7 linked regions of the Xenopus tropicalis genome follow. The protein of the gene in region 1 binds, or shares a complex with, the protein of each later gene. Links are inferred from orthologs where the notes say so. Each region holds a gene or a part of one and is shown in the gene's direction. Other genes may lie near its edges.

Region 1 (3,500 bases):
AGCGCTAATTTACAAAGTTAACAAATGTCGGTATCTTACTTTACCATTTTTTATTTATATAATGCTTTTTTTCTTTATTGTGAAAATGTGCAAACATTTATTCTGTTTAACATGTGCAGAGAGCGGCACTAAAGAAGATCCTGTAGCTGCTTCTGTCATTAATCCTATTGCACTAAAACAGCAACAAGAACTTAGAGAGAAGTTAGCTGCTGCAAAAGAGAAGAGATTGCTGAATCAGAAATTAGGGTAAGAGGAGAGTGGTGCGGACCTAAAGTGATAAAAATAAGTCAAAACCTCAAAAGAATGGGTATGTGCTAGCTGTGGTAAAATACATGTTGGGAATGCTTTTCTGCCTCTCTGAATGCATTGTAGTGATCATACTGCCAAGTTTGCTTCAGGCTCCTGTTCAGGTTTTCATTTGGCTACAGGGCGTGTGGGTACATAACCAGCTATCAGTGCAACTGTAAATCATATTTTGGGGACTGTGGGAAATGTAACAGTACATTATACAGAGCAGTTCATACTCTTCACTTGTAATTTCTATAGTAAAATCAAATCTCTGGGAGATGATGAGCTATGGTTAGATGACACAGCTGCCTGGATTGAAAAAAGCCGTAAGCTTCAGATGGAAAAGGAAATAGCTGAGAAGAGGGTGAGTACTGTTAATATTCTTATCATGATGAGTTGACTGACTTTAAATCTAAAAAGTTCCGTTGCAGTTTAACATTGTTTAATTATTTTAAGTTTGATTGCCATTCTTAATATTTGAAATACTGTGCTTTTCAGTTACATTTTTTTTCGTCTCAGGCAAAACTTCTTGCTGAAATGGACGAAGAGTTTGGCGTTTCTAATCTTGTGGAAGAAGAATTTGGTCAAAAGAAGGTAGGTGATGTAAAATCAATTTATGTTTTTGTCTGCACTTTTTTGTTGAACTTTTTGTGTAGCTTTTATTTTCATACGTGCTACATGTTAATTTTTGTGTATTACAGCATTACAGTTCCCGTGATCTTCAGGGACTCACTGTGGAACACAAAATTAATGCTTTCAAAGAAGGACAGACTGTCATTCTCACTTTAAAGGACAAAGGTGCGTTTGTTTTTCCAAATCTTGTTCTTAATGAAAAAGCAGTAATGGAGTATAGTTTTGCTTTCATGCTCAATACCTCTCCTGTAATTAGTTTAGTAAGGCCAATGCACATGTGGCATTTTATCAGACACAGGAAACTCCAGTCTGCTCCTTACCGTCCCATGCTTAGTAGCACGGATATCAGTTTCATCAAATCTGCCAGCAAATGGGAAATACTAGGACTTTGGGCCACCGGACAAGAACCACATCAGTGTGCCAGGGTGGTGTGTATTGGGATTTTCAAAGCTTTCTGATGGATATCTGGATGATTTTTCAGGCTCACTCACTTTTTGGAGGCAGCTGGTGTACGATACTCTTAAACTAACATAAGACCGGGGGGCAAGGGAAATTTGACAGGGTCTTGGGGACCCTTATGTGGACTGAATATGCTGGATTGCTATTTGCTGATAAACAGCTGGGAGACCCTGTTGAGATCATTGTTGCCTGGTACACAGCCATTAATGCCTAATTGACAGTCCACCCAACCTACTATCACTTTTCATACAGATGTATATTGGTTTGTTTTATTCTAAATGCCCAGCAGTATATAAAAATATTTCTTTTACAGGTGTCTTAGATGAAGATGACGCAGATGTTCTAGTTAATGTAAACTTAGTGGATAAAGAGAAGGCTGAGAAAAATGTGGAGTTGAAGAAGAAAAAGCCTGAATACAAACCATATGAAGAGGAGGAAAATGTGGAGGACATGGCAGTTGTAAGTGCATTATCTTACAAGCCTGATTCTAAAGGGCACTAAGACTGCATACAGTAATTTTTATGTTTAACAGAATTTTTATTAGCAGCATTGATGAAGATACAGACTATGGTTTATGGACATCAACATAGAAACTGTTCATGCTTACAGTATGAGGCACAAGTAGCCAGTGGATGTCTAGATTTACTGTGGTATAAGGAAATAATAAGTCCATATAAGTTAGATATAACTAGTGCAGACCCTAGTCAAATCTTTCTCTTGTAGGATGTGTTTATTTTGTTTTTTAAATAATTTAACTTTTATCTGACTCTTAAAACCCATGAAGCTTTCCTGAGTGAACAACCAGTATCTGCTACTAAATGATTTGAGAATAAGGTTGTCTGTGCGAACAGAGAAGCTTAATTAATCAGACATATTTTTCACTTTGGCTTAGTAGTTCTTAGCCTGTACTGAACAACATTGCAGCAAATATGTTTGTTTCATAAATTAGTTTTTAGTATGGTAAAGACAAAATAATTGTAGAGTAAATGAAAATAAATTGTAAATCGAATTTTTATTTTACCCACTTGTTTACTTTAGTGTCCTTTAATTGTTTTTGCTTAGAATTTAAAGTAATAGAAAATAAAAACCATAAAATCCCACAGTCCATCTGTTATTTCTTGCTGGGATCAGTAATCCTATCAACCAGACAGCATTTTTAGCGACAGGATGTGAAAAACCAGAACAGGAAAATGATACTAAATAAATATAATGAAGTAAATCTACCCTCAGTGGTGTTATTCTTGCTATAGAAAACTGTGGAATAGTCATGATTGACAAAACCTTTTTGTATTTGATTTCTAGAATTATTTTTTAGATTTATGAGGACTTTTGGTGCAATTAACTTTTTTTTTGGCTTAAATGTCTCTTCTCTAGTTCCGCCCCAAATCAGTTCTTTCCAAGTATGATGAGGAGATAGAGGGAGAGAAGAAAAAGTCATTTCAACTGGAGTCTGGAGGAGTTGCTGATGGGTCCTGGGAGAAGGAACTACAGAATATTCGGGAATCTTTGCACAGCCAAGCTCATACTCTGGAACTTCCACAATCTAAACTTGCTTCGGAGTACTACACTCCCGAGGAGATGGTATGTTTGTCTTAGAAGAGCTAGATGGATCGATATGTTAGTTATGACTTAAGCGTCTTTATGAAAAAAATTATAAATGTTTATTTAAGTGGGCATTTTTATTCTCTGATTATTCAGTGACTTAAGTTACTTAAACTCCCTTATATGTTTCTTTTGTTCACAGGTCTCCTTTAAAAAAACAAAGCGACGAGTGAAAAAGATTCGTAAGAGAGAGAAGGTTGTTCGGGCTGATGACCTTCTAAACATTAATCATGATACCAGAGAAACTGACTTTGGATCAAGGTGACGGGCACAATTGCTATATCTTTTGTTAATAGTAATAAAATAGTAAGTGTAGCCTCAGAGTAAAACATGTATTCATCACTGTTTTTTTAATTATAAAAATTCAGTTAACAGTCAAACTGAGGCTACCCAATATGGAGGTAATTTCACACCATGGTTTGACACACTAAGCTAGATGGTTTAGATGAAGGTGCATCTTATGGTCATAGGGTTCTAGACCTGTGTTAAAGTAAATTATAACTAAAACCTAAAAAAGC
Region 2 (3,991 bases), on another chromosome or scaffold:
CAATTATGAATAATATACGGTGCTGGTTTCCCTTTGGGCTAAACATTAATCCTATTTGTAAAAATGGCCCCTTTATTGGAGCTCCCTATAGATCCTCTCTCTTCTCTGACCATGTTTGAAATGAAGAGTGGGCGTGTCCTAACGGTCCCTGCAAGAAGCACAGTAGGAGGGGGAGAGCCAATCACAGACCTGCACTCACACAAGCAAAGACAGGCTTCAGTTCCCTATCAGGTCAGCCTAGCTGCTGATTGGTTCCTATCCTACAGTGCAGTGTATAGAGGGCCGCTGGCTCCCCAGCTCATCCAGAGAATTCAGCCAGCAGGAAGTGGAGCAGATGGGGGGGACTAGTGGGGTTTTGGGGGAATTTCTCAATAAATCTGTCTGAAATACAACTTTTTTAAGCACATTCCTTCTATATCTAGAGGAGTATAATTCACTGGCACATTCATAATTTTTATAGGATATGTCTCCTTTAACAGTAACTAGCCCAGGTATGGACAGCGTAACTCCTTTTAGCTATCTCGTAACCCTCATGCCTTGTACCTGGAGTTGGTAATTATTGGTCCTTAACATTACAATTGATGTTTGTTGTGCAAGAACTGATAGTTTGTGTTTGTGGGTCAGAATGCAGTTCCAGCCTCTGTAGTTACACCTGGAATCCAAAGTTGTTTAATAAACTGGTACAAGGGACATTTTCTCTGAGCAGAAGCTCAAAAAGGGCAGGAGGTGGGCAAGTGACAAACCAAAGGTTAGGGATTAAAAAAATACAAAAAAGGGATCCAAAGAACAAGGAGAGATAAATCTGATTCTTGTCTGACTGTCGCTAGTTTGGCCCTAGGTTAGAATTCTGCTGGCAGAAGAAACAATAAAATAAAAAAACATTTTAAGGTTGGACATTACAGATCTAATGTGGAGTGCCTAACCTTAATATAGTTCATTTTTATTCTACTGTTTCATAAACTAATCTATACTTTGTTACACTTAGTACCTGCTCCCAGTTTATAAAACCTGTATTTTTTTTAACGTATTTTAGTTGTTCAGGGATAAAATACGTTTAGGGGACTTCTCAAGAAAGTTACATGAAAAAAATGTTTTCTGTCCTCGCGAGATCATGATTGCGTCATCACCGTGGGACCCATTCATTCGGCCGGTGCCTGAAGCCGGCGCGCAAATTCCTGCTGCTTTAAATTCTCGCGAGATTTATGCAGAGGCGCTAGAGCGGTGAATGAGCGGAAGGCATTTGGTGTGTAGATCTGTCGTTGTCAGCGGCGTCTGTTTTGTTCTTCAGTTTCCAGATAGAGCTTGGGTGGTGCGACTGCAACAGAAGCAATGGTAACCGCTTAAGAACACTAGCGTTCCGTTACTGTTTCACGTTTTGTAGGGTAGAACCTAAGGAGTCGATAGCCATGTATTTTGTGGTGTACCAGCGTATACAGACCTGTTTGGCAATCAGTCCCCCCCCCCTATAGTCGCAAGGTCAGCTTTCTGAGTGGCCATGCCCTGCTTTGACGTTCCATGTTTTGCCTATACCAGGATTCTGGGATTTGTAGTCTTATAGCAGTGGGAGGGCTCGAATTTGGCCATCCCTGCTTTGCAACAACATTTCAATCATTTGTAACCTGATGTTAGTTGGACAGAACAACTTGTCTGTCTCTGTTATTGTTTGTGTCTTATGAGAGAACATGCTTTGCCTTGATCTGTAAAGGATCTTGGCAACATTTGTTATGTGATGTGCCTTGGGTAAGCTACAGGAGAGGCAACTGGTTTTTATAACTACTTGTTTTTATCATGTACAGCTATTCTACTCCTTCTTCAAGTCTCTTGTAGGAAAGGATGTGGTGGTAGAGCTGAAGAATGATCTGAGGTGAGTGTTTTGCCCCATGTTCTTTCTAGAATTGCTTCCCCCCCCCCCCCCCCACATGCTATACAGTCAGGCAAAAAGCTGCCACTGGTACATTTCAAGAACCTAATTTCTGTACTTTAAGGGATGTGACACACGGGGACATTAGTCGCCGCGCAACAAATCTTTCTTGTTGCGTGTCGACTAATCTCCCTGTGTGTCACAGCCCTTAAACCTAGTGCAGTGTGTGCAGTTGTGCTTTCTGCACTTGTGATGTGCCCAACACAAAAGAGGTAAGCACGGTGGGTGCAGCAGCACTTAGAGTCCCCCTGACCATTGTCAAACTTTAGAGGGCAGAGTGTATTGTGTAGACAGAATTTATAAAAACATTTTCTTGTGCTCCTGTAGACTTCACACCCTTAAATAACCACTTCTTTACCATTTAGCCATCTTTCATCCATTTAGCCTTTTGTTGCACTATTACATAAATGGTCTTATCTCTTGCAGTATCTGTGGTACTCTACACTCAGTTGATCAGGTAAGTAACTGAGCAAATATATAAATGTAGTTTATTTTCTCAGCATAATTATCAGCTCAGCCATGTTGTCACTTAAGCCTTGCAACTGAAATTGGCATAAAATCTTTCAGTGCCAGGGAAAAATGTTGGGTTGGCAAAAAAAAAATGAAAAAGTGAAAATTTTCTTTTAAATGACTTTACCATTACTGAAATTTCCACAACGCTAGGTTAAATTAAACCCTAGCAATCAGATAGCGCCTACAATTCCAAAATGGAGAGCTGCAATAAAAAAAGCTAAATTTAATTAAAGACTGCGATAATGAAGACTAGTTGCAAATTGTCTCCAATTATCACTGTCCACATCATACTAAAAGTTCATTCAAAGGTGAACAACCCCTGAAGGGACAGAGCCTTTAATAAAATGTACGCATCCTGCAGAGTATAATGTCAAACCAGGGAATATTTATTAACATAATTACTACAAGATTCTCCAAAGAGAATATTGCTCATATTTTTTTTTTTTTATACCCTAGAGGGCTTGTTTGCATAGAGGAATATCTCTGCTCTACCTGTTATCGTAGTACCTTTTCAGGTGTCTGGTGCTAAACAGTCTGTAGACCCACCTGCCCAGGGTCAAAGATGCTGTAGCACACTGATCCGTTATTGTGGTTGCATTAAGTTGCACCGACTCTTGCAATGTTTTGGGTCACTCTCAGACTGGCTGAAATGTTCCCAGTAGATGTCTGCTAATTAAGCCAATAAATCACTTTATTTAATGTGTGATCAGTGTGCTACATCATCTTTTGCATTCTGCATAGAGGAATATGTCTTGGAATAGAACTTTTGGGGGGAACTTGTGTTTTTCATTATCTCAAACAAGATTTCACTTTTTTTTTTTTTTATAGTATTTGAACATTAAGCTGACTGATATCAGTGTAACAGACCCAGAAAAATATCCACACATGGTAAGCTTTTTTTTTTTTCTTTGTATTTTTTATCTGCACCAGTAAACTAGATACTTAGCTTTTAATCCTGCTTTGAAACACTTGTTAATGTAATTATTTAAAAAATTTTTTTTTTAGTTGTCTGTAAAGAATTGTTTCATTCGGGGATCTGTGGTCCGCTATGTACAGCTCCCTGCTGATGAAGTAGACACTCAGCTTCTCCAGGACGCTGCACGGAAAGAAGCTGTACAGCAAAAGCAGTGATGTACAAGAGCTAGAAGGATGGAAGCAGGTTCACAAGCAGCACTAGGTGTTGTCAACTGCCTATATTTCTATAAGGCCAAATATAGGAGTGAGCAGCAACTTGTTACCTGTTATACAGGTTTTGCATTACATTTCTGTAAGAGACCCACACTTTTTTTTCTCATCCTAGTTCTGGAAACTTTTTTAAGTGCAGTGACTTGTGTGTTCACTTTAGAATCCAAGCAATGCATTTTGCTCTGCAAAGAAGTGGTCTCAGATAAGCAGAGTTAATTGGGAAAGACTGCCCTAACTTTTTTTTTTTTTTACTTAAATAAATTTTGTGTTAAGTCATCAGCTCATGTTTTTTTTTTTTTTTAGTGAAGCTAGTTCCTTCTGTTTGTATCTGCCTTTCTTAATTTTGTCGTAATATGATTTTTACTGGTTTAA
Region 3 (4,195 bases), on another chromosome or scaffold:
CCCCAATTACTGCACCCCATTTTTAAAAAAATACCCCTTTTATATAGATCAAATGGCGGGCGCAGATGAAAATGTGCTATACCCTCATACTGAACGACCTAAGGAAAACAATATAGCAACTCCTACATTAAAATACAAATATAGAGAGAAGGCAGTCAGTTATAAGTGAGTTATAACTAAGTACCAGTTTTGCCCCCCCATACACAGTGCCCCCATACACAATAGTCTCCCATACACAGTGCCCCAATACACAGTACCCCCCCCAATACACAGTACCTCCCATAGGCGCAGCCTTCGTCTGCGGCTTTGTTATGCCTCTCCTTGTGCAGCGCGACAGGCCCTTTTATAAGGTTGCGCTCCGTGCGTAATGACGTCACACCCACAGGCGCAACCTTATAAAAGGGCCTGTCGCGCTGCACAAGGAGAGGCATAACGAAGCCGCAGAAGAAGCAAGAACATCTGGCTACAGCAAGCGCATCCCGCTGTGCCGGATAGTTCCATGAATGTCCCGCAATGCGGGACATTCATGGAACTATCCGGGACAGCGGGATGCGCCGTAAAAAGCGGGACAGTTGGGGGGGTATGACCACAACCAGGAACTTAAAAGCCTTATTTCTCTGTTCCCTGTGCCTGGCATAAGCTAAATCTATTTAAATTTAAATAGTCTAGTCTAATCTAGTTAATTTAAAGGTTCTGTTGGGGCATAGGCTCTAGCTGCAGCTACTGGGCTGTGCATATAAAGAAAAGAAACAGCACATGTTCAACTCAAGTTCCATCTTCCTTTGACATTGGCCTCAAGGCAGCTACGTGCTGCGTAACCACGTTTATAGTATTGATGTGACGTCACCTTCTCGCGAGATGAGACTTGCGGTGCGTTGGCTCGCTGTACGGCAGGAAGCGAGGGGCTACACGGCAACAGCACCGCAAGACTTTTAAACAACCGTACGGGACTGCGGACTGTATTAGTTAAATCAGCACAGTTGGGTGGTATGTAGCCTATATATATATATATATATAAGGCTTTGGGGCAGCTTGTTGGTATAACTCAGGAGCTTGCTATTGATTCACATGAATTTGCACCAATACTCACCCAAAGTGGCCTTCAGGCAATCCCCCTGCCTCTACTGCAGCCCCACATTTCCCAGATTCATGTCGGATTGTTACGAGCAGCATTACGCTACAATTTGTATCCTCATCTGTAAACTATAATCTTGGGGGATACTTCGGACTCTTTAACCATTAAAAATATTTAAAATTTGCCCAGATAATTTTTAATTGAAAGTATTAGCATGTTAGCCTGTCAGTGTAGATGGGAGTATGTTTGTATCTTCACGCATTTGAGAAAAGTGTTTCATTTCTTGCAATACTTCTTTTCTTGTCCTTTTAGCTTTAAAGCAAAGCTGCCAAAATGTCGTACATGCTTCCTCATTTGCACAATGGCTGGCAGGTCGACCAGGCAATCTTGTCTGAGGAAGACAGAGTTTTAGTTATACGTTTTGGCCATGACTGGGATCCAACTTGTATGAAGATGGATGAAGTTTTGTACAGTATAGCTGAAAAGGTAAGATATATTTATAGCAGTGTATCGAAGACCTGCAGGTCAGGTGGGTTTGGATTAAAAAAGGTTCAGGCAGGTAGAAGGTCCAGATGCCTGTATGTATGGGCCTGCCGCCTTATCCCCTACACCTGCCTCTAAGCATTCCTCCAGCAGCTGCCCCCCCCTTTGGGGACATAAGTGGTGGGGACCCCCCACATGTGTGATTTCTCTAGCTGGTTCAAGGCATAGTTAAAAATGGTTTGGCAGGAGTGGGTCTTTTTCATACATATTAATATAGATTCAGGCCTTCTCCTATTTATCTTCAAGCCAGTGACTGGAACCACTGACTGGTTACTTTGGTCAACACCCCTACTAACCAAATAGCAGTGTAAATAAGAAAATGGAGCTCTACAGGAAACATGTTGATCTAAAGTCACAACCAGGAGACAGAGGGTTATGGTGATGCCGCTTTTAAACAGAGTATGGAGCATATTCAGCTTGAACTTAGGATGAAGAAAGTAAAGGCTAATGCACGACTCAAATACATTTGCAAATTTAAGAGAAAATAACTAGGAAATGCTCTAGTGGTAAATTATTCTATATAAAAAGGGGATCATTTCTTTTACCAGTTTAGTTGGTGATCATTACAGGGAGCCTTAGTTTAGAGAGAGGGGTAGAAGAGCAAAAATTGTGACATCATTCCATCAAGTAAGGGTGCTGTGTAGGTTGAGGCCCCTTGGAATATTTGTTCATATGTTTTCTGAGAACGGTGGGGGTCATTTATCAACACTGGGCAACTTTGCTCTTGAATAGTAACTCATGGCAACCAATCAAGTTGTTGCATTCATTGTTCTAAATGCAGTTAGCTGAAAAAGCCAATCATGGATTGGTTGCTATGGGTAACTGCCCAAAGGCAAATTTGGCCAATGTTGTGTGAGTGCTAATGATTCTACATATGGAACCTCAAAGATTAAGTATTTTCATGTTTGGAAATAAAGAAAAAACATAGAAAAGGCGAGATTCTGTATATTCTGTGTTATTTCACAGGCATCCCAAAGCACATACACTGCCTTGCTGTATTTGCGTTCGAGGTCTACTGTCTGGGGTGATTGAAGATCACAGGACTGGGCCCATTAATCGAATATCTTGTGATGAAGTATGTTATTACTATATATCTATTTTGGTATTTGCCTACATTTTTAGTTAGAACATAAAAATATAAATGTTAAAGTGGACCTAAACACCCCAAAAGAAATTAATGTAAAATTGGTAGTATGCTCTTCTGAGCACTTTTATAATGTACACTGATATAATGAATTTAAAACTGCAGTGCTCTGTTAAGGTAGTTACTGAGCAGAGAGGTTTCCTTGGTCAATGATATTGCCTACTGAGTAACTCAGTAACATCATTTTATGATGGCCAGCTGATCAGAACAGTAGGGAGCTGTGTGGTTTCAAATAAATTATATTATTATTGCAAAGTGCTTATATCTTAAAATGTTCAGTGTAAATAGTAAAAGTGCTGAGAAGAGTATTCTGAGCAGTTGTACAGTATTTTGCTTTTTGGGGTGTTTAATTCCCCTTTAAGTGTGTGGAAATTGTTTATTGATTATGGTGTTTCTTGTTACCTCATCTATGGTGCCGTAACTGCTGTTTTGAAGGTATTTCTTCTGGTGCAGAGATAAGCTAGGTGCTTAGTGCATTACCACATGGCTAGATCATGCTCCGAGTGATAAATGGTGCATCATATATGCATTTCTGTTATGCTGACTTGTGTTCTGTCTGTATCTAAGCTTTTGGCTGTTGCTGTTTTTTAAGTTACAAAATATTTTATGCTTTTTTAAGACTGTTCTTACATCAGTGTTGGTATGAAATATTAGCCTGCTAGGTCATGATGAAGGCAGATGCTGAGTGACAGCACAGTTAGCTGCATTATTTGGTTAATATCTGTTGCCTGTGAAAGAAAGTTATCCATGTGATTGAAGGATCTTTTTTAAGGGGGGGGGGGGGGGGGAGTATGATTTGTATTTTATTCCTACAAGTTATGTTTTAACATTTACCAGTCAGACTGTACAGTGCTGTATTCCTTCACTACAGTGTTTTTATCTTCTCCTTCACAGCTCTTTTATTTATTTTTGGATTTTTAGAGATTAGTTAACATTTTAGTTATTAGTTATCATTGTATAAAAACTCACCCTTTAATAAATATAACTGTAAAAATGTTATACAGTTGTATTGAGAGTTTTGAATTTCTTTCTGGGGAACTGTGTCAAGCTGTATTTAACCGCCATTTAGCACTCCAGAGAATGTGTTTCCACTGTTCTGAAGTCCAGTGGCGATGGCATTTACAACTTTTGTTTGCAATCACACTTTATGCTGTTAGTTTTGTTTGCCTCTGATTGGCCAACAACCCTTGGTGGCATTGCTTCCAGAGAACTTAGCAGCTCTGCTGTTGTGTAATGCTCACAACACACATAAATAAACACTCTAATCCTCAGAAGTCAATCACTTTTATTTTATTTATCCTTGGGGGGGGTCTGTTTGGATGAAAACCACTGATTAATCTGATTGCTTCTAAAAATGATTAAAGGAAAAGTAACACTAAAAGTAAAAAAAAAAGTAAGTACTAAAGTAAAAAATCTATTCTACCTTGCTCCAA
Region 4 (3,539 bases), on another chromosome or scaffold:
TATGTAATAAAAAAAAACTCTTAAAGGGATGTTTAGTTTTAATTGTGACTTGTTCAACTGTACTTTGTAAAATCAGCATATCTTCAGTTCAGATTCTTTGATTATCTTTTTTTATTAAATGGATCCTGAATGTAATCATGTACATGCTCCTCTAGTTCTGTCTCATCCAGGGGTGGAGGGGAATTACTTATAGAGAATGTAGTTTTGTTTTTTTTGTTTTTTTTTATCAGAGTAAGGCATTCAGTGGGCATATATGTAATGGTCAAAACATTTTACCCTCTAAAACGAAAACGGTGTTATTCTACCAGTAAGGACACGGTGCTAGTAACAGAGTGTTGAAACTGATACACTACATAAAAGTATTTTATCAGTGATTTGACATTGGATTGGGTTCTGTTTGGCAAGGGAATCATTATATATGTTCCAGTCAGTAAACTCTGGTATATTGAGCAATTAATTTGGAATTTTCTGCTTTCTTAGGAATGCATGCATCAGGCCATTTCGAAGCTTACTGCAGTGCACTTGCTATTTTTATACCAGTGACATGATAGCTTCATGTTACCTTCTACCACAGAGAAGTAGGCAGCTGTAATACGTACTAAGCTTAAATTTCAAGGAAAACTGTGTTTTTCATGTTTTAAATTGATATGTTGATAACAGAGTCCCTACATTTTCTTTCAGTCTGCTATTCTCTGCATCAACTGATAAAACTGTTGCTATTTGGGACTGTGAAACAGGCGAAAGAGTAAAGAGGTTAAAGGGACATACATCATTTGTAAATTCATGTTACCCGGCAAGGAGGGGACCGCAGTTAATATGCACAGGGAGTGATGATGGCACAGTAAAGGTTGGTAATATTTATGATCTGTTGATGTTTGGGTAATCCTTGTTAATTGGTTATAAATATATAATAATGGGGAAGAAAAGGAAATAAACAAGTAGGAAAGGTGAATAACTACCAGAATGCATAACTGTGCTAATTGTTATCTTATAGCTGTGGGACTTCAGGAAAAAGGCTGCAGTACAGACCTTCCAAAATACATACCAGGTACTATCTGTCACATTCAATGACACCAGTGACCAGATCATCTCAGGAGGCATTGACAATGACATCAAGGCAAGTAAACACAAAGGTGATTAGCACTTACTTGCTAAAGCAGTGCTGACCAGACCAAGCATATTTAGGAATTGCATGTAAAGAAGCAGCAAGTATTCTGGCATAGCCCTGTATACTGCAAACATTGTTTCATTTTTACGAAGTGATATGTTATAGGACCAGCCATGAAATGAGGCAGTTTTCAGATCTTATCTTTTGCCAATATCAGCTCTGTCATGTAAAGTTTGCTTCATGTTATTGAATTACAGCATGGTTCATAAAAGTGAAAAGGGTTGTTATAAAATGTCGTTTTTTGGGGGGTTTTTTTGTTTGTTTTTAGGTATGGGACCTGCGACAGAACAAGCTTATGTACACAATGAGAGGTCATGGTGACTCTGTGACAGGGCTTAGCCTTAGTTCTGAGGGCTCCTATCTTCTGTCCAATGCTATGGACAACACAGGTGAGTATTCTTATGCCCTTTTAAAATCACAAGACAAAACACACATGGAGGTGTTGCTGAATTGATTCAATAGCCAGTGAGTTTACTTCTTTGTTCTATTTTGCAGTACGTGTTTGGGATGTTCGTCCTTTTGCCCCAAAAGAGAGATGTGTGAAGATATTTCAAGGAAATGTGCACAATTTTGAAAAGGTCTGTATTTTGCAATATATCCAGATATATAACGTTTTTCTTTTCGATTCTTTGTATTGGGGAAAAATAGATGCCACTTCATATGGATTAGTTCCTTATCGCAATAGCTCACATTGAAGGACCTTGCACCTTCCCCTACCTAATTCAGATGATCATTACATATTTATTTTTCAATTAAAAAAAAAAAAAAAAAAAAAAAAGTAATGGTTTATATTCTTTCCTTAACAGAACCTGTTACGTTGCTCCTGGTCTGCTGATGGAAGCAAAATAGCTGCAGGATCAGCAGACAGGTATAACTGTTGTCTTTGGTTTAAATATTGCTTTGCCTCTGAGGTCTTTGTTTAATTTGCATAGAATGTTTATGTTTATGTTTTTTTTTTTTTTTTATTTTATTAAGATTTGTTTATGTTTGGGATACTACATCACGTCGAATTCTTTACAAACTTCCTGGTCATGCTGGGTCTGTAAATGAGGTAGCTTTTCACCCTGAGGAGCCAATTAGTAAGTCTCTCTTGTTAACTACTTTTCTCTTAATAAAACTTTCAAAGCAGAAAAGATGCCTTTTTTTTTAATAAGCTTTGTCATTTAACCGTTATTTAAATACACAATAAAACTTAATGCCATATGATAGTGTGTGAGGGGCAGGGGTCATTTTATCCAAAGCTTTATTTGTATAGGTGTGATATCCCATAGTTATAAATTCATTTAGTCTTAGACTAAGAAATCCTTGTTGTCTTATGGTCATTTTTGTGAAAATTATGACGTATTGATTTATAAATTCTTTGCTAGTGCAATGTTTATTTAAGGAAAATTGTTTTATCTGTATTAGCTTAATTTGCTCTGATTTAATTGTAACCACCTTTTCTGTTTCAGTTCTTTCTGCCGCTAGTGACAAAAGATTGTATATGGGGGAGATCCAGTGATTCACCCAGTGCACACAGATCATGGAAAGCCCAAGCTTTTGACAAGCCCCACTTATCTTTAAAAAATCCTTTGGTTCTCAGAGACTTACAACAGTGTGTATGCTAGTCTGCTCTGGTTTACTGGACTTTTTTTTTTTTAAGACATGGACTTCTGACATGCTTGTCTAAGACCTTCGGCATCCCTGTGCTAATATAAGCTCTTTCTGGGGCTTTGTTTCTGATTTTTTTTTTTTTTTTTTTTTTCTGCCCCACTACCCTGGGTATCAAAAACCTATAGACATCCCTTATCACACCAATTTATTCATTGTGGCTTGATATGAACTCTGTATATCCTGTGTGTTTATTTTATATGATAAACTGTTTTTTATTATAGTTTTGTTGTTTATTTAAATCTAGAAAGAATATTCAACATATTCCGATAGATGCTGTCTCCTGTGTTGAGATTGTGTGTTTTGGTTAATACAGATTTTTACCAATTTTTTTTATTTGTATATACAGGCACTGGGAGCATCAAGAGTAGACTATGGGTCTGGTTTTCAGTAAAGACCAGTGGTTATCTATAGGGATGCAACAAACCCACTTTTTTGGCTTTGGCCGAACCCACCCTGAGGGATTCTGCCAAAACCCGAACTGAATCCTAATTAGCATATGCTAATTAGGATCGGGAAGGGTTAAAAGTTGGTGCGTGTGGCGAAAAAATTTTCCCTAAAGAAATTTAACCCTTTCCGAATGCTAATTAGGATTCAGTTCGGCTGGGACCATGGATTTGGTATTAAGTTCCTTGGTAAACTTTCTACCATCTTTTTGTGTATGCTGCCAATATTTTAACTTCTTTATTATAATACCTTATAACTTAATGAGCTCAGTTGG
Region 5 (4,182 bases), on another chromosome or scaffold:
CCGATTCCCGAACGATCCGATACTATCGTTAAGTTATCGTATAGTTGATGGTGTGCGAACGATCGTCGGCCCACTAATCGACCCGACATTATTGTCCCCAAAATCGATCGGCCAGGTTTAAAAATTTTAGTCGTTTAATGATAAAATCTGCCAGTTGGTGTGAGTGTCAGACATTTGTCTTCGAACGATTGTTCTCTGCGCATGTCATGATTGCCAGCAGCGGAAGTCAACGAACATAAATAAATAAATACCGCTTCCGCCACGACATTGGATCGTACGTAGATGTACGATTGTAAAAATTGCAAATTATCGTTGCCTGTGGATGGCATATCGTATGGAAACCCGGTCGCCATACGATCGTTTGTCGATATAATAGTTCGTCGCACAACGAGTGAAATCGCCTTGTGTATGGGGACCTTAACATCAGAACAGTTATCTGTTTTCCTTCTCAATGTATACTCACTCAGCTGTATGGTTGTAAGAGCTGACCAGTAGGCGGCGCTGTTTATAAGCAGATTAAAAGCTTTAAAAAATAATTGATGTAAAATGCAAATGTGACTAGAAGAGGACACTGACAAATTTATATTAACTTTTTAGGTTTTAGATATACTTTATTCCCCAGTCAATTTATTTGTTAGGGCCCAGGTTTCATACCCATATCAGTTTCTTGGGAAACCTGATTTCCCTGTACTTTGAATTTATGGAATAGTTTTGAAGGCCAAACAGCAACAAAGCTGCCAGTGGAGAGGGAGATTTTATGGGAAGTGATATACAAACAATAAAACCTCCCTTCTCCTCACAGAATACAGAGGGGATTTGGTGTGTTCCCTATGTGCAGCAGCCACAGGTAACCATAATTCTACCTACTGCATAAATACACACATACACCCACACAGAAGCAGAGCTCTGTTATAAACGCACTCTCGCCCACACAGCATCACGGCTGTGATCAGGCCACATTGAAATAGGAACTAAAAAAAAAGACGTTTCCGGTGTGGAGCGCTGAGGCGCTTGTATTAGCACTGCTTGATGTGAGAGCAAGGCAGACAGCATGGATATTTACAGATATGGATAGCTTCAACAGAAATAAATTTAATTGCACGGAACATGTGAATGCTACAACTCCACTCCATCCAAAACTAAACCTCTGTACTGCTTATATGTCAATGAGTAAATCAGGTTTAGTCACGCGTAAACGTACTGCTATTGCCACTCTCCCATAATCCCCTGCAAGGTTAGAAGCGCAGGCATATCGCATCGCCCACCAACTTCATGCGAATAAAGCGTGTAAAACAATGCACTGCGCCTGCGCATACAGCCTACAAGCAAGCCGCTTCTGGGATTGAAGCGCCGCCTCTTCTCTTCCGGTTTTGCCCCAGATAGAAATGGCGGTACCGGCTTCCAACGCTAACAATCCCATCGTATTCTTCGATATCAGTATCGGGGGGCAGGTAACACGCGGTGTTAAGTATAATACATTGAGAAAGCCCTGCATTAAATGATGATTCCATACTTACGTACTGAGAAGAATCTCGCCATGCAACACCACCTACAAACTGCAGCTGAGCAAATGGGGCTGCATGGTGTAGTGTAGTATTAGCAAGAAGGCTAAGTGTGTACTGTGACTGAAGGACAGATTTTTATATTCATAGCAGAAATTATTATGTATTTAAATTGTATTCCACGTGTATGGGCCCCACTGTTCTTTCCGATCTCTAAACCCTAAAACTTTACTGATGGTCCTAAACATGCACTCTAAGCCCTGAGAAAATCCCTAAATATGAACTCTAAAATTCTCATGGCATCCCAATTCATGAACCCTGCCCCCAAGGAAGACTGGGCGTGAACCCCAAAAGAGAGCCCAAAACAAAACTTGTAAAGCCACCAGACGGCTGATCAAACCAATTAGGGGAAAAAAGATCATCTTGGAAAGCTCTGAATATTATCCTTAGAATGTATGGAAAAAAGTCAACATGGAAACTAGACATTTTGGAAAATGTGTCAACATGAGGGCTAATTTGTCCATTCCGTGTCTTTGAAAAAGTTGTTCTTTCAAGCAAACTGTTGCTATACCTATTTATTCTGCATTTATTTAAATTAAAGTTATACAGAATATTAAAAACATTGGGTGGCCTAATTTTGTAAGCTTTTAAAGTTTTGTAATTGCTATATTTTATGCTATTCAACTTCAAATTAGTTTGCTTGTGTGTAACTGTGAAGAAAGGCATATATTCTGGGAAAACATGAAGGGTATGATGACTGTAATACCAATGTGCTAATTGTCTTTTCACAAAAAAAACTAATTTAATGTCCATTTACTTTTTCAGGAGGTGGGCCGGATGAAGGTGGAACTTTTTGCAGATATTGTACCAAAAACTGCAGAGAACTTCAGGTGAAGTTGCATGACTTTTGCTGTCAAAACTCTGGAGTAGTTATATAGCAACACTGACAAAGTTTGCAACTGCCCATAACCCAAAGCAACCAATCAGATGTTTGCTGTCATTATTTTAGTCTCACTAGATCAGTAAGACTAAGGGCTCTGGCACACGGGGAGATTAGTCGCCCGCGGCAAAACTCCCTGTTCGCGGGCGACTAATCTCCCCGAGTTGCCTTCCCCTGCCATCCCACCGGCGAACATGTAAGTCGCCGGCGGGATGGCAGATGCGGCGGCGCGATTTCGCGCAAATCGCTGAAAAAGACTTGCGAGTCTTTTTCGGCGATTTGCCGAAATCGCCTCGCCGCGTCTGCCATCCCACCGCCGGCTTACATTGTCGCCGATGGGATGGCAGGGGAAGGCAACTCGGGGAGATTAGTCGCCCGCGAACAGGGAGTTTTGCCGCGGGCGACTCATCTCCCCATGTGCCAGCTATCTGTCGAGCCTACAAAATAGACAGTACTGATAGGATTGTTTTGCCTTCAATAGGGATTAATTATATCTTAGTTAGAATCAAGTGCAAGGTGCTGTTTTATTATTACAGAGAAAAGGGAAATCACTTTATATCATTTGATTTACTTGATTATAATGGAGTTTATAGAAGATGGCTTTCCCTGTAATTCTGATTTTTCTGGATAATGGACTTCTAAATAATGGTTCCTATACCTGTATTATATCTAGCAAACAGTTTTTAAATAGCTTAAAGCTTTACAATTATACTAATAATATATTATCCACATAGAGTTCCTTTCTGTTTTGTTTCTCTCATCACAACTAAGTTCTTTAATATACAGCCCTCTGCATCTAAAAGAATTTGACAGCACTACTTTACACCCCTTGTTTCTTTTTTTCAAACCATCCAAAGGTCCCTTCCCACAGGCATTAATATTCTCACCAGCAATTTACATCAATGCTGGTTGTAAGGAAACTTTGGGCATTTGTCACCTGCACTGAAGGAGATTTAGTTTTAGTGTTTAGAAGTAAAAGTAAATGGAGGATAAAGTAAATTCATGAATTTCCCATTTCTGATGCTTAAAGCTGATGCCAGAATCAACCCATGTGGCATCAGTCTAAGGGGCTATTTCTGATATCAAAAAGAAGTTGTTGTAGACTAATGCATTATGTGCTATGCAGGAATGCATTGTTGTGCAAACAGATTACGTTAGGTAAAGTATCTGCTAATTGTAAATAATTCTTTATTTCTCATTTCAGGCAATTCTGTACTGGCGAATTTAGGTTTGTATCTGTACTTCTTTTGCCCCGATCGGGGGTTTGATCTAAGTAATGGGAGTAGACTGGAATAAATGTTGAAGCACAATTGTTTCCACAAATCCTCATAGTTAAGTTCTAAGAAACTGGCTTCAGTGCTTCTCTGTTTTCATTCATTGTGTAGCAAATTCTGCAAGAAGCTAAACTGTCCATTGGCTGCTTGGTGGGGGATTATGAATATAATAGCAACAATACTTTTTCTGTAGATCAACTAATACTCAAAATAGTACATTGAAATTAAACGTAATAAGCAATATGGCAGCTTTCCTGACAGGAAAGACAATAACTGTTTTAAAATATTAAATAGTGCACCGCAGATATTTTTAGCACCTGTGCTGTAATACTGACATCTGCTTTAAGGGTAGTAGAATATTTACTGCAGATTGCATTTGCAAATTAGTTCTGAGTTTATTTATACCCTCCATTGACGTTCAGGGCTGAATCATCGGATATAGAGGTAGAAACAATAGCAATTCTAC
Region 6 (4,289 bases), on another chromosome or scaffold:
AAATTGATTACTTGGTATTTACCTTACTTTCATATTTCTAAATACAAGTTGGTGAGCAGATTATTTATTTAGCTGCCAAGTTCGCTTATTCTTTGCTTATTTGGCTAGCTATTAAATTAATTAATTCATTTATTTGCATATCATATTAGTTATTTTCATTTTTGTACATTTTAATTCCTTCCGAGGAATCTTAAACAGTTACGCTCACAGAGCGTCTCCTCATCCCCTATGTTTGCATGGGTGGGTTCATGGCAGTTGCAGGGCAGATTCAAGTTCTGGATGTGAAAGCTAGTTACCCAGCAATTACCAAATGAATGAAAACAAAAAAAAAAAAATATTGTATAATTGTTTATAGTTATAAGCAGAGAAGACCTAAACAGCAATAAAGACAGGTATAAAGTGACAATTTAGAGGAGTGAGTGAGCTTCCCCCACACCATGCTTATAAACAATTTGCAGGATTTCCAATTTGGTGTCAGTCACTGGCCTCTTGGTGACTGCACATATATTTCTTAAGGTGCCCACACACCTTCAGATCCGCTCGCTTGGTGATGTCGCCAAGCGAGCAGATCTTCTCCCAATATCCCCCACCTACGTGTGGGCGATATGGGGAGAATCCAGGCTAATTCCCTGGGGCCAAACGATCGCATTATAAAGACGGGTATAGGTGAAGTCGTTCCAGGGACCGCATCAACGAGCTGATACGGTCCCCGATCCAACTAGATTTTTTAACCTGCCCGATCGATATCTGGCCCAATTTCAGGCCAGATATTGGTCGGGCAGGCCCATCGGTAGTGCCCATACACGGGCTGATTAGCTGCTAGAATTGGCCCGTGTACAGGGACCATTAGGTGCCATGACATTCACCACTTTAATAAGGATATTTGCAAATACATGGTGTACAGCAGGTAATGAATCAGTAAAGATTTCAGATGAATAATACCAGGCTCCAATTGAATAATGTCATGCCACACACAGCTTATCAGTATTAGTAATCATTTTTGATGCTAGTGACATTTTGTGTGGCTGATTAAAGTAAACTGACCCTTCAATCAGAAAGGATTATATGGGAAGTTTCAGAAAATCAAAGTAGCTTACCATAAGTAAAGTGCATGTGCCTGTATAAAATAGATACAAAAATAAATATATGTAAAATAAAAATACGTATACATTTGCGTCAACTCAAAGAAATGTATTACGTTTAGCAAGTAAGAGTAATGCTGAATCAGAACACGTTTTTAAAGTTGGAGGCGAGGTTTCTTTACTAGAATGACTTATAATGGCATGGTGCAGGGATTCAAAGCCATGAAACATACAGGATATCCCAGCCATTACTACATACAAGAGGTGCAGAGGAGCCACAGCGCCGCCTCTCGCCCTGATTGGACGCATCATTTCCCGTGTTAACGTCATCGTCCCCTTTTGACCCCCGGTAGGCGGTGCCTCATTCAGGAACCCGATTTACTTCCGTACGGCGCACACGGCTTTCGCTTGTTTTTGGATTGTCCTGAGACGGACACCGTAAAAAGGGGTAGGAAGGAGAGAGGCGGGAGAAAAGGCATCGCACGGGATACAGGGTGAGAATTACAGGGTGGCTTATGGCCGCCTGTAGTATTTGCATTGATGCACACCATCTAGTATGGTTAGTGCTCATTACGTTCAGAGAAAAGTAGGTAACAACAATAATTAACCTAAATGTGTGGCTCCCGCGGTGTCTATGCGAAGCGAATTCTGGGAGTTGTAGTTCATCCCAGGTGTGTGGCCGCTGCATTACATTGGGATTGTATTATGTATTGTTCAGCTATAATGTTTCGAAGTAGATTTGCTACAGGCACCCTTTTCTTGATACATATTTGTATTGCTCCCGGCAGGTGGGTATTGTAATTCCTGAGCAATATACTGATTACCAGCAGGCTGTACTAGAGGGGCTCAGTGCCAAGTACATGAGAGCTCCTCTCACAGGGGCTGTATAGATCTCCCTGCTACATCAGAGGGATGGAGCTTCTTACTTATAGATTTAGAATCATTTGTAAGTTTAAGCCCAGCTACAGTGTGTCAGTGTTGGGCTCTAGCCCTAATGTATGTAAGCCCTAATATATCTATGTTATCAGTGAGCTTTTCCACTTAATATTTTATTCTGGCAGTAACCAACATGCTTGAGGCTGTCACTGACAGATTTCCTCTGCTCTAATTGGCTGATACCAGCATGAGTCACATTTGTATCAGACTGCTGACAGACACCATGGTGGATATGTTTGTACAGGTATGGGATCCTTTATCCGGAGACCCATTATCCAGAAAGCTCCGAATTACGGAAAGCCCCTCTCCCATAGACTCCATTTTAATCAAATAATTCAGATTTTTTAAATTGATTCCCTTTTTCTCTGTAATAATAAAACAGTACCTTGTATTTGATCCCAACTAAGATATAATTAATCCTTATTGGATACAAAACAATCCTATTGGGTTTAATTAATGTTTTATTGTTTTTTTAAGTAGACTTAAGGTATGAAGATCCACGTTACAGAAAGACCCCTTATCCGGAATACCCTTGGTCGCTAGCATTCTGGATAACTGGTCCTATACCTGTAGTAGGAAACGTTTAGGCTGAGGAAGCACAGTATTTCTTAGAAATGATAAGAGACACTGAATAAAAACCTTTGATAAATACAATAATATATCAGGGAATTTGAGGACTGTGGAGTCGGTACATAAATCCTCGGAACAGTAACACAAAAAATGAAAGCATATAAAAGTAATTAAAATATAATGTACTAGTGCCCTACACTGGTAAACATTGTGTGTTTCCTTCAGAAACCCGAATATAGTTTATATAAACAAAGCTGCTGTGTAACCATGGGGGTAGCTGTACAAATTGAAAATAAGAAGAAAAGACACAGGTTACATAGCAGATAACAGATAAATTGTGTAGATTACCATTGTACCATTCTAAAGCGTGCATCTGTTATGTAACCTGTGCCTTTTCTCCTTTTTTCTAGCTTGAATGGCTGCCCCCATGGCTACACAACAGCTTATTTATATAAACTATATAGTCTTACTGAAGCAAACATGAAACTTTTACCAACACAGAAATACCCAATCTTAACCCGCCTGCTCCCAACCCTACCCGACCCAGCTTCTTCCCTTTATTTATAGACCTACTCCCGACCCTCCCCGCAATGACATCACGAAGGGGTGGGGCATGTCGGGCGCGCACCTATAAATTCCCAAGCTGGAATCGGAATATCAGCATTGTTAGGTCTCGGTCATGGAGGCTGACCGGAAGCACTCAACCCGAAGCCCACCCGCGACCCGCAGGTGATGTGCCAAGGTCGGCCTGACCTGCAGGTATTGGGCCAGCCCGCACATCAATAGTGCCCACTCCTTATTCTGCTGTAGACACTGAGGAATACAGAGCCTCCAGTTAGCTGTGATTTAACCCTGTTTTAACTGCTTTGTCTTCTGATTTTTTAGAACACATCTCTTATAGTGCTTTCCTGGCTTTCCTTTTAAAGGCTAGTTAAGACGAAGATATTTCTAACCAACTGCAGGCGAATGGATTGTCATTGCTGTTGGTTAAATTTGGTGGAATAGTTTAATAGAAAACTAAAGTTTAACATTTCTAGCCTGCTTCTTTTAGAGTTTAGTGTTTGTAGAGTTTATATTCTTTAAAATAGGACTTATACTCCACAATGTTTGCTGTGAATTCTGGACCAAAGCGGCAGTCTATTTGTATACCATATCATAGTGCAGATTTGCCAGTTCTAATGCACTAATCTGTGCTGTTAAATCATCAAACTGACAATAATGACCAACTGCAACTGATATAAAAATGCTGGTCTGAAAATGTGAATAATATATAATATCTGTAAAGCACTGAGGAATATGTTGGCACTATATAACAATAAGAGAATTATTTTGTCTTGAAACCTTTCTTTACAGTGAAAGGGAATTAGAATGAGCCTGCGCAAACAAACACCGAGTGACTTCTTAAAGCAGATTATTGGAAGACCAGTGGTTGTAAAGCTCAACTCTGGAGTCGATTATCGAGGTAAAGCTTAAAGTAAAAGGCAACCTGAATTCCTTTTATATCTATCTTTTATCAACATTTGGAATGAGGATTATGAAAAATGTATTTTTACAAATTCATTCTGGCTCTGTTTCATGTCCATGTTATAATACGTATTTTCCCTCACTTCAAAGTTTGCACATTCCAAAGCAATACATTTTCCCACAGATGCTGCTTAAATTTAAATATGCAAATCAGGGTTACGTTTGGGTCGTATTCTT
Region 7 (4,048 bases), about 94 Mb from region 1:
ATGTTCCACCAGAGCCCAAAGCATTGGTAGTTAATCATTTAGCACAGAAATAAAAGCCCATGCACAATTCAAGGGCTAACTCTGCCTATCTTTTAATATTGTCCAGATGGCATAATACTAACACAATCTGCAACTGGTCTTTATTTTTTATTTCATCTGGTCTCTGAATTATGTTGTCAAGGTTTGTATTTAATTTATCTGGTTTCTAGGGGTTACCTTAGCAATCATAGAAGAATCTTAAAACCAGTATAGTGAATAGTACAGGGCTGATGCCCATAGGGTTCAATCTGCACTCACTACAGTATTATTCCCAGCCTATTTAGAAACTCTGCACAGTGTCCCCATACAGTACCTATAAGAATTAAGTCTATTTAAGTCTGTGAATTAAGTCTGTGTTTAGATTTCATTTTACGTGTTACTGTATATCATTCACAAGATGAATGAAAATCTCTATAGACATGCAGACCCCATAGAAACTCACCACCATGCAGGGAGTCTATTGCCGGGCGGTTTCTCTGCTTGTTCCCCGCTACCGCAGCACCCTCAGACCCCCTCCGCTTTGCCATCTCCCCACAATTCTACCTCACATGTCCCCTCTGGTTGTATAACCCACACAACAGGAAACAATCTGTCTCAGACAATAACATTAACGCGTCACTTCCGGAACATACACATGTGCACCCCGCTGCCAGGCCTCCGCCACTTACTGCCCATACTCTCACATTATTGGCTGAGCTTCACATTCCGGCCTCCGACACTTACTGCCCATACTCTCACATTATTGGCTGAGCTTCACATTCCGGCCTCCGTCACTTACTGCCCATACTCTTACGCTATTGGCCGAGCTTCACATCCAGGCCTCCGCCTCTTACTGCCCATACTCTCACACTATTGGCTGAGCTACACATTCCGGCCTCCGTCACTTACTGCCCATACTCTCACGCTATTGGCCAAGCGTCACATCCAGGCCTCCGCCACTTACTGCCCATACTCTTACGCTATTGGCCGAGCTTCACATCCAGGCCTCCGCCTCTTACTGCCCATACTCTCACACTATTGGCTGAGCTACACATTCCGGCCTCCGTCACTTACTGCCCATACTCTCACGCTATTGGCCAAGCGTCACATCCAGGCCTCCGCCACTTACTGCCCATACTCTCACGCTATTGGCCGAGCTTCACATTCTTCCTGTGGCACATAAATATCGCGATAGGAGAATTGTCAGGGTTCTCGGCTATTTCCTTTGCGCGGGGTTTTGAAGATGGCGGACGACGGAGAGCAGGTAGGGATGTGGGTTTATAAGACTGGAAAACAGGTTCTGTTCGGTTCTCGGCGCAGTGCGGCATAAGGGGTGCTCCTGGCCCGGTCTCGCTTGGGAACGCGTATAGGGTTTTTTTATGTTGCGGGGAATTAAGTGAATGTTTATTCAAACTGGACTGTTTTCTCTTTTATTTCAAAGCCTTTTTTTTTTTTTAATCGTGAAGCACCGGTGGAGTGTGTTTATATTCATAACTAGCGATGTAAATCTGATTAAAAACCCAGTTGTTGTGGTCAGGAGTAAAATGAAATGTATGTTCTGTGTGGCTGATGGCGTCAATATATTCAAACAATAGAAGCACAAGGCTTGTTTTAGTTTCTATACCTCAGATTTCTGAGTTTATCTCCCAATTGACTCTTGACTCCTGTTTTTTAGGGACACATCCTATAAAATTTAAGAATATACTAGTGAATTATACTCCTAGATATAGGATTGTGCTTAAAAAAAAAAAAAGTTGTTTCGGACTGATTTGAGAATCCCCCCAAACCCCACTAGCCCCGCCCATCTGTTCCACTTCCTGCTGGCTGAATTCTCTGGATGTGCAGGGGAGCCGGGGCACTCTAAGATAGGAACCAATCAGCAGCTAGGCTGACCTGATAGGGAACTGAAGCCTGTCTGTGCTTTTGTGAGTGCAGGGCTGTGATTGGCTCTCCCCCTCCTACTGTTCTTCTAGCAGGGACCGTTAGGACACGCCCACCCCTCATTTGAAACACAGACAGGGACCTGAGAGGATCTATAGGGAGCTCCAATAAAGGGGCCATTGTTACAGATAGGGTTAATGTTTAGCCCAAAATGAAACCAGCACCGGATATTATTCATAATTGCCTACAAAATGAGGGGTTTTCCCATTTATCCAACATGTCTCCTAATTTACTAATGTGTCAATCCATGTTGATTGGAAGAACACAACATACATTTCATCACTGCCAAAGCTCAGCAGTTTGAAAGCTGTATGGAGGTGGTGCATGTTTTTGGGAGCAAACTAAATAACTACTGGCTAGGCAGCTGGTTCACTACCCTATTGGCTGCCCAAGCGGGTCTAAATCTATAACCTAAGTCTGTCATTTTGGCTTTTTATTAAAGACACCACAAGCATTCCTTAAATCTAAAGTTCAAACAAGACAAAAAATGAAAACTGTAAGGTTTTAATAGCTCAGGTTACAAAACAAAAACTGTAGTACCGTGTTAGCCAGTGTCAAAAATAATAATAAAAAAACAACAAGACACAAATACAAGAGTATTGTACTTCACACTAGTGAAACTACACTCTGGGCTTTATTTATAATTAAAATACAAATAGTACAGTTACATTAAAGGTATAGTGCTAAGTGTCCTAGACAAGAGGAAGGAGGTCCCTGCCCCACAGACCTTACAATCCCATGCAGGGGAGAAAAGAAATGCTATTTGGTAACTGTAGATCAAATCTGACTGCTCAAAACAATAAAGGTGCCCATACACAAGCAGATTTTGTCATGTGAAACAACCAGTTTTAAGGTGGCCATACATGGGCTGATTCTAGCTGCCGATATCAGTCCCTTAGACCAATTCGGCAGCTTATTGGCCGTGTATGGGCATTAACGACAGGCCTGCCCAACTGACATCGGGCAGATCTCGATCAGGCAGGTTTAAAAATCAGTCTGATCGGGGACTGCATTGGCTCGTTAATGCAGTCCCCAAACAGACAGACGCCTATGGCCGTCGTCCTAATTCGGACATTTGACCCTGGGGCCAAACGACCGAATTAGCCTGATATTGCCCACCCATAGATGGGGATATTGGGAGAAGATCCGCTTGCTTGGTGACTTCGCAAAGCGAGTGGATCTTAGCGTGTAAGGCCACCTTTACAGTGAACCAATAAAATTTGCTTTATTATTAACTTATTGTTACATTCAGGGGGAAACGATTGTAAAATATACGATCATTTCAACTGCATTGTCCCAACATTTGATCAGATGGGCTTGACCGTTTTTGTCATTAAATCAGTCAGTGGATGAGAGGAACAGATCACAATCATTAGATTAACATTCCCTGCACAAGTCTTTATTTTGATGGGCTAGGTTAAGTGCAAAAGTAAACAATGGAACAGACGGGCATTGGCTAATATATGTTCTTGGAGCCAGCACAACAAAGATATGACAAGTCTTCTCATATATTGACAAATGATCAAGCAAGCTTGAGTTTAGTTGCCTGAGGACCTGCTGCCCTTCACACTTCCCCCCCCCCCCCCCCCCAAAGGTCCTGTGGATGCTGAGTTACTAAACTCATGCAAATACTCTGTACCCCTGCAAGCACTGACACTTGATTGTGTGGCTTAAAAGACTGCTATTGCTAAATATTTGCAACTTATTCACTGGAATATAGAATCAGAAGTGCCATTACTCGTTTAAAGGAAATGTAAACCTTCGAAAGACATGGGGGGGAAAAAAGTCAACTGCAAAAGTGCTCTGAATAGAGTGCTGGGCAGTTTTGAGACTGTTTTCTTGGGTTTACATTTCCTTGAAAGTACTTTTTATAATATCATAATTATAAGGAGGCTAATATATCACGGCACCATCTGCAAAAGAAAGGGGACCAGAATTTGTGGTAAAAGCAGATGATTATTACTTTGCAGCTAAGGGGTTAAACAATATACAGGCAACTCTTATGTATCCAGCAAAAACAGTTTTAAGATAGAGGCAGAAACACAGGACTAGGTTTAAACTGAAAACTATAAATTGAATCATACTAAAA

What was found.
Region 2: sart1 (region 1) and lsm2 share a complex: the UniProt entries of both Homo sapiens proteins name them as parts of the U4/U6-U5 tri-snRNP complex. The link is inferred for Xenopus tropicalis from reciprocal best matches to the Homo sapiens genes SART1 and LSM2.
Region 3: sart1 (region 1) and txnl4a share a complex: the UniProt entries of both Homo sapiens proteins name them as parts of the U4/U6-U5 tri-snRNP complex. The link is inferred for Xenopus tropicalis from reciprocal best matches to the Homo sapiens genes SART1 and TXNL4A.
Region 4: sart1 (region 1) and snrnp40 share a complex: the UniProt entries of both Homo sapiens proteins name them as parts of the U4/U6-U5 tri-snRNP complex. The link is inferred for Xenopus tropicalis from reciprocal best matches to the Homo sapiens genes SART1 and SNRNP40.
Region 5: sart1 (region 1) and ppih share a complex: the UniProt entries of both Homo sapiens proteins name them as parts of the U4/U6-U5 tri-snRNP complex. The link is inferred for Xenopus tropicalis from reciprocal best matches to the Homo sapiens genes SART1 and PPIH.
Region 6: sart1 (region 1) and lsm6 share a complex: the UniProt entries of both Homo sapiens proteins name them as parts of the U4/U6-U5 tri-snRNP complex. The link is inferred for Xenopus tropicalis from reciprocal best matches to the Homo sapiens genes SART1 and LSM6.
Region 7: sart1 (region 1) and lsm3 share a complex: the UniProt entries of both Homo sapiens proteins name them as parts of the U4/U6-U5 tri-snRNP complex. The link is inferred for Xenopus tropicalis from reciprocal best matches to the Homo sapiens genes SART1 and LSM3.

Annotation. Positions count from the first base shown.
Region 1 is NC_030680.2:38,869,655-38,873,154, forward strand, and holds part of sart1 (U4/U6.U5 tri-snRNP-associated protein 1), read left to right. Parts: intron 1-119; coding exon 120-246; intron 247-546; coding exon 547-652; intron 653-807; coding exon 808-882; intron 883-989; coding exon 990-1,086; intron 1,087-1,693; coding exon 1,694-1,839; intron 1,840-2,754; coding exon 2,755-2,961; intron 2,962-3,124; coding exon 3,125-3,243; intron 3,244-3,500. UniProt on the Homo sapiens protein: Plays a role in mRNA splicing as a component of the U4/U6-U5 tri-snRNP, one of the building blocks of the spliceosome. May also bind to DNA.
Region 2 is NC_030684.2:75,103,095-75,107,085, reverse strand, and holds lsm2 (U6 snRNA-associated Sm-like protein LSm2), read left to right. Parts: upstream 1-1,191; 5' UTR 1,192-1,329; coding exon 1,330-1,332; intron 1,333-1,796; coding exon 1,797-1,864; intron 1,865-2,347; coding exon 2,348-2,378; intron 2,379-3,262; coding exon 3,263-3,322; intron 3,323-3,439; coding exon 3,440-3,565; 3' UTR 3,566-3,898; downstream 3,899-3,991. UniProt on the Homo sapiens protein: Plays a role in pre-mRNA splicing as component of the U4/U6-U5 tri-snRNP complex that is involved in spliceosome assembly, and as component of the precatalytic spliceosome (spliceosome B complex).
Region 3 is NC_030682.2:96,972,567-96,976,761, forward strand, and holds the start of txnl4a (thioredoxin-like protein 4A), read left to right. Parts: upstream 1-1,395; 5' UTR 1,396-1,408; coding exon 1,409-1,561; intron 1,562-4,195. UniProt on the Homo sapiens protein: Plays a role in pre-mRNA splicing as component of the U5 snRNP and U4/U6-U5 tri-snRNP complexes that are involved in spliceosome assembly, and as component of the precatalytic spliceosome (spliceosome B complex).
Region 4 is NC_030678.2:79,154,275-79,157,813, forward strand, and holds the end of snrnp40 (U5 small nuclear ribonucleoprotein 40 kDa protein), read left to right. Parts: intron 1-681; coding exon 682-847; intron 848-994; coding exon 995-1,117; intron 1,118-1,436; coding exon 1,437-1,557; intron 1,558-1,663; coding exon 1,664-1,746; intron 1,747-1,974; coding exon 1,975-2,036; intron 2,037-2,143; coding exon 2,144-2,247; intron 2,248-2,619; coding exon 2,620-2,669; 3' UTR 2,670-3,039; downstream 3,040-3,539. UniProt on the Homo sapiens protein: Required for pre-mRNA splicing as component of the activated spliceosome. Component of the U5 small nuclear ribonucleoprotein (snRNP) complex and the U4/U6-U5 tri-snRNP complex, building blocks of the spliceosome.
Region 5 is NC_030683.2:94,758,872-94,763,053, reverse strand, and holds the start of ppih (peptidyl-prolyl cis-trans isomerase H), read left to right. Parts: upstream 1-1,382; 5' UTR 1,383-1,385; coding exon 1,386-1,451; intron 1,452-2,327; coding exon 2,328-2,392; intron 2,393-3,646; coding exon 3,647-3,670; intron 3,671-4,182. UniProt on the Homo sapiens protein: PPIase that catalyzes the cis-trans isomerization of proline imidic peptide bonds in oligopeptides and may therefore assist protein folding. Participates in pre-mRNA splicing.
Region 6 is NC_030677.2:58,334,625-58,338,913, reverse strand, and holds the start of lsm6 (U6 snRNA-associated Sm-like protein LSm6), read left to right. Parts: upstream 1-1,489; 5' UTR 1,490-1,576; exon of another isoform or gene 1,577-1,753; intron 1,754-3,160; exon of another isoform or gene 3,161-3,347; intron 3,348-3,941; 5' UTR 3,942-3,956; coding exon 3,957-4,050; intron 4,051-4,289. UniProt on the Homo sapiens protein: Plays a role in pre-mRNA splicing as component of the U4/U6-U5 tri-snRNP complex that is involved in spliceosome assembly, and as component of the precatalytic spliceosome (spliceosome B complex).
Region 7 is NC_030680.2:132,918,360-132,922,407, reverse strand, and holds the start of lsm3 (U6 snRNA-associated Sm-like protein LSm3), read left to right. Parts: upstream 1-1,248; 5' UTR 1,249-1,261; coding exon 1,262-1,282; intron 1,283-4,048. Other genes in the region: xpc (DNA repair protein complementing XP-C cells), read right to left, coding at 482-566. UniProt on the Homo sapiens protein: Plays a role in pre-mRNA splicing as component of the U4/U6-U5 tri-snRNP complex that is involved in spliceosome assembly, and as component of the precatalytic spliceosome (spliceosome B complex).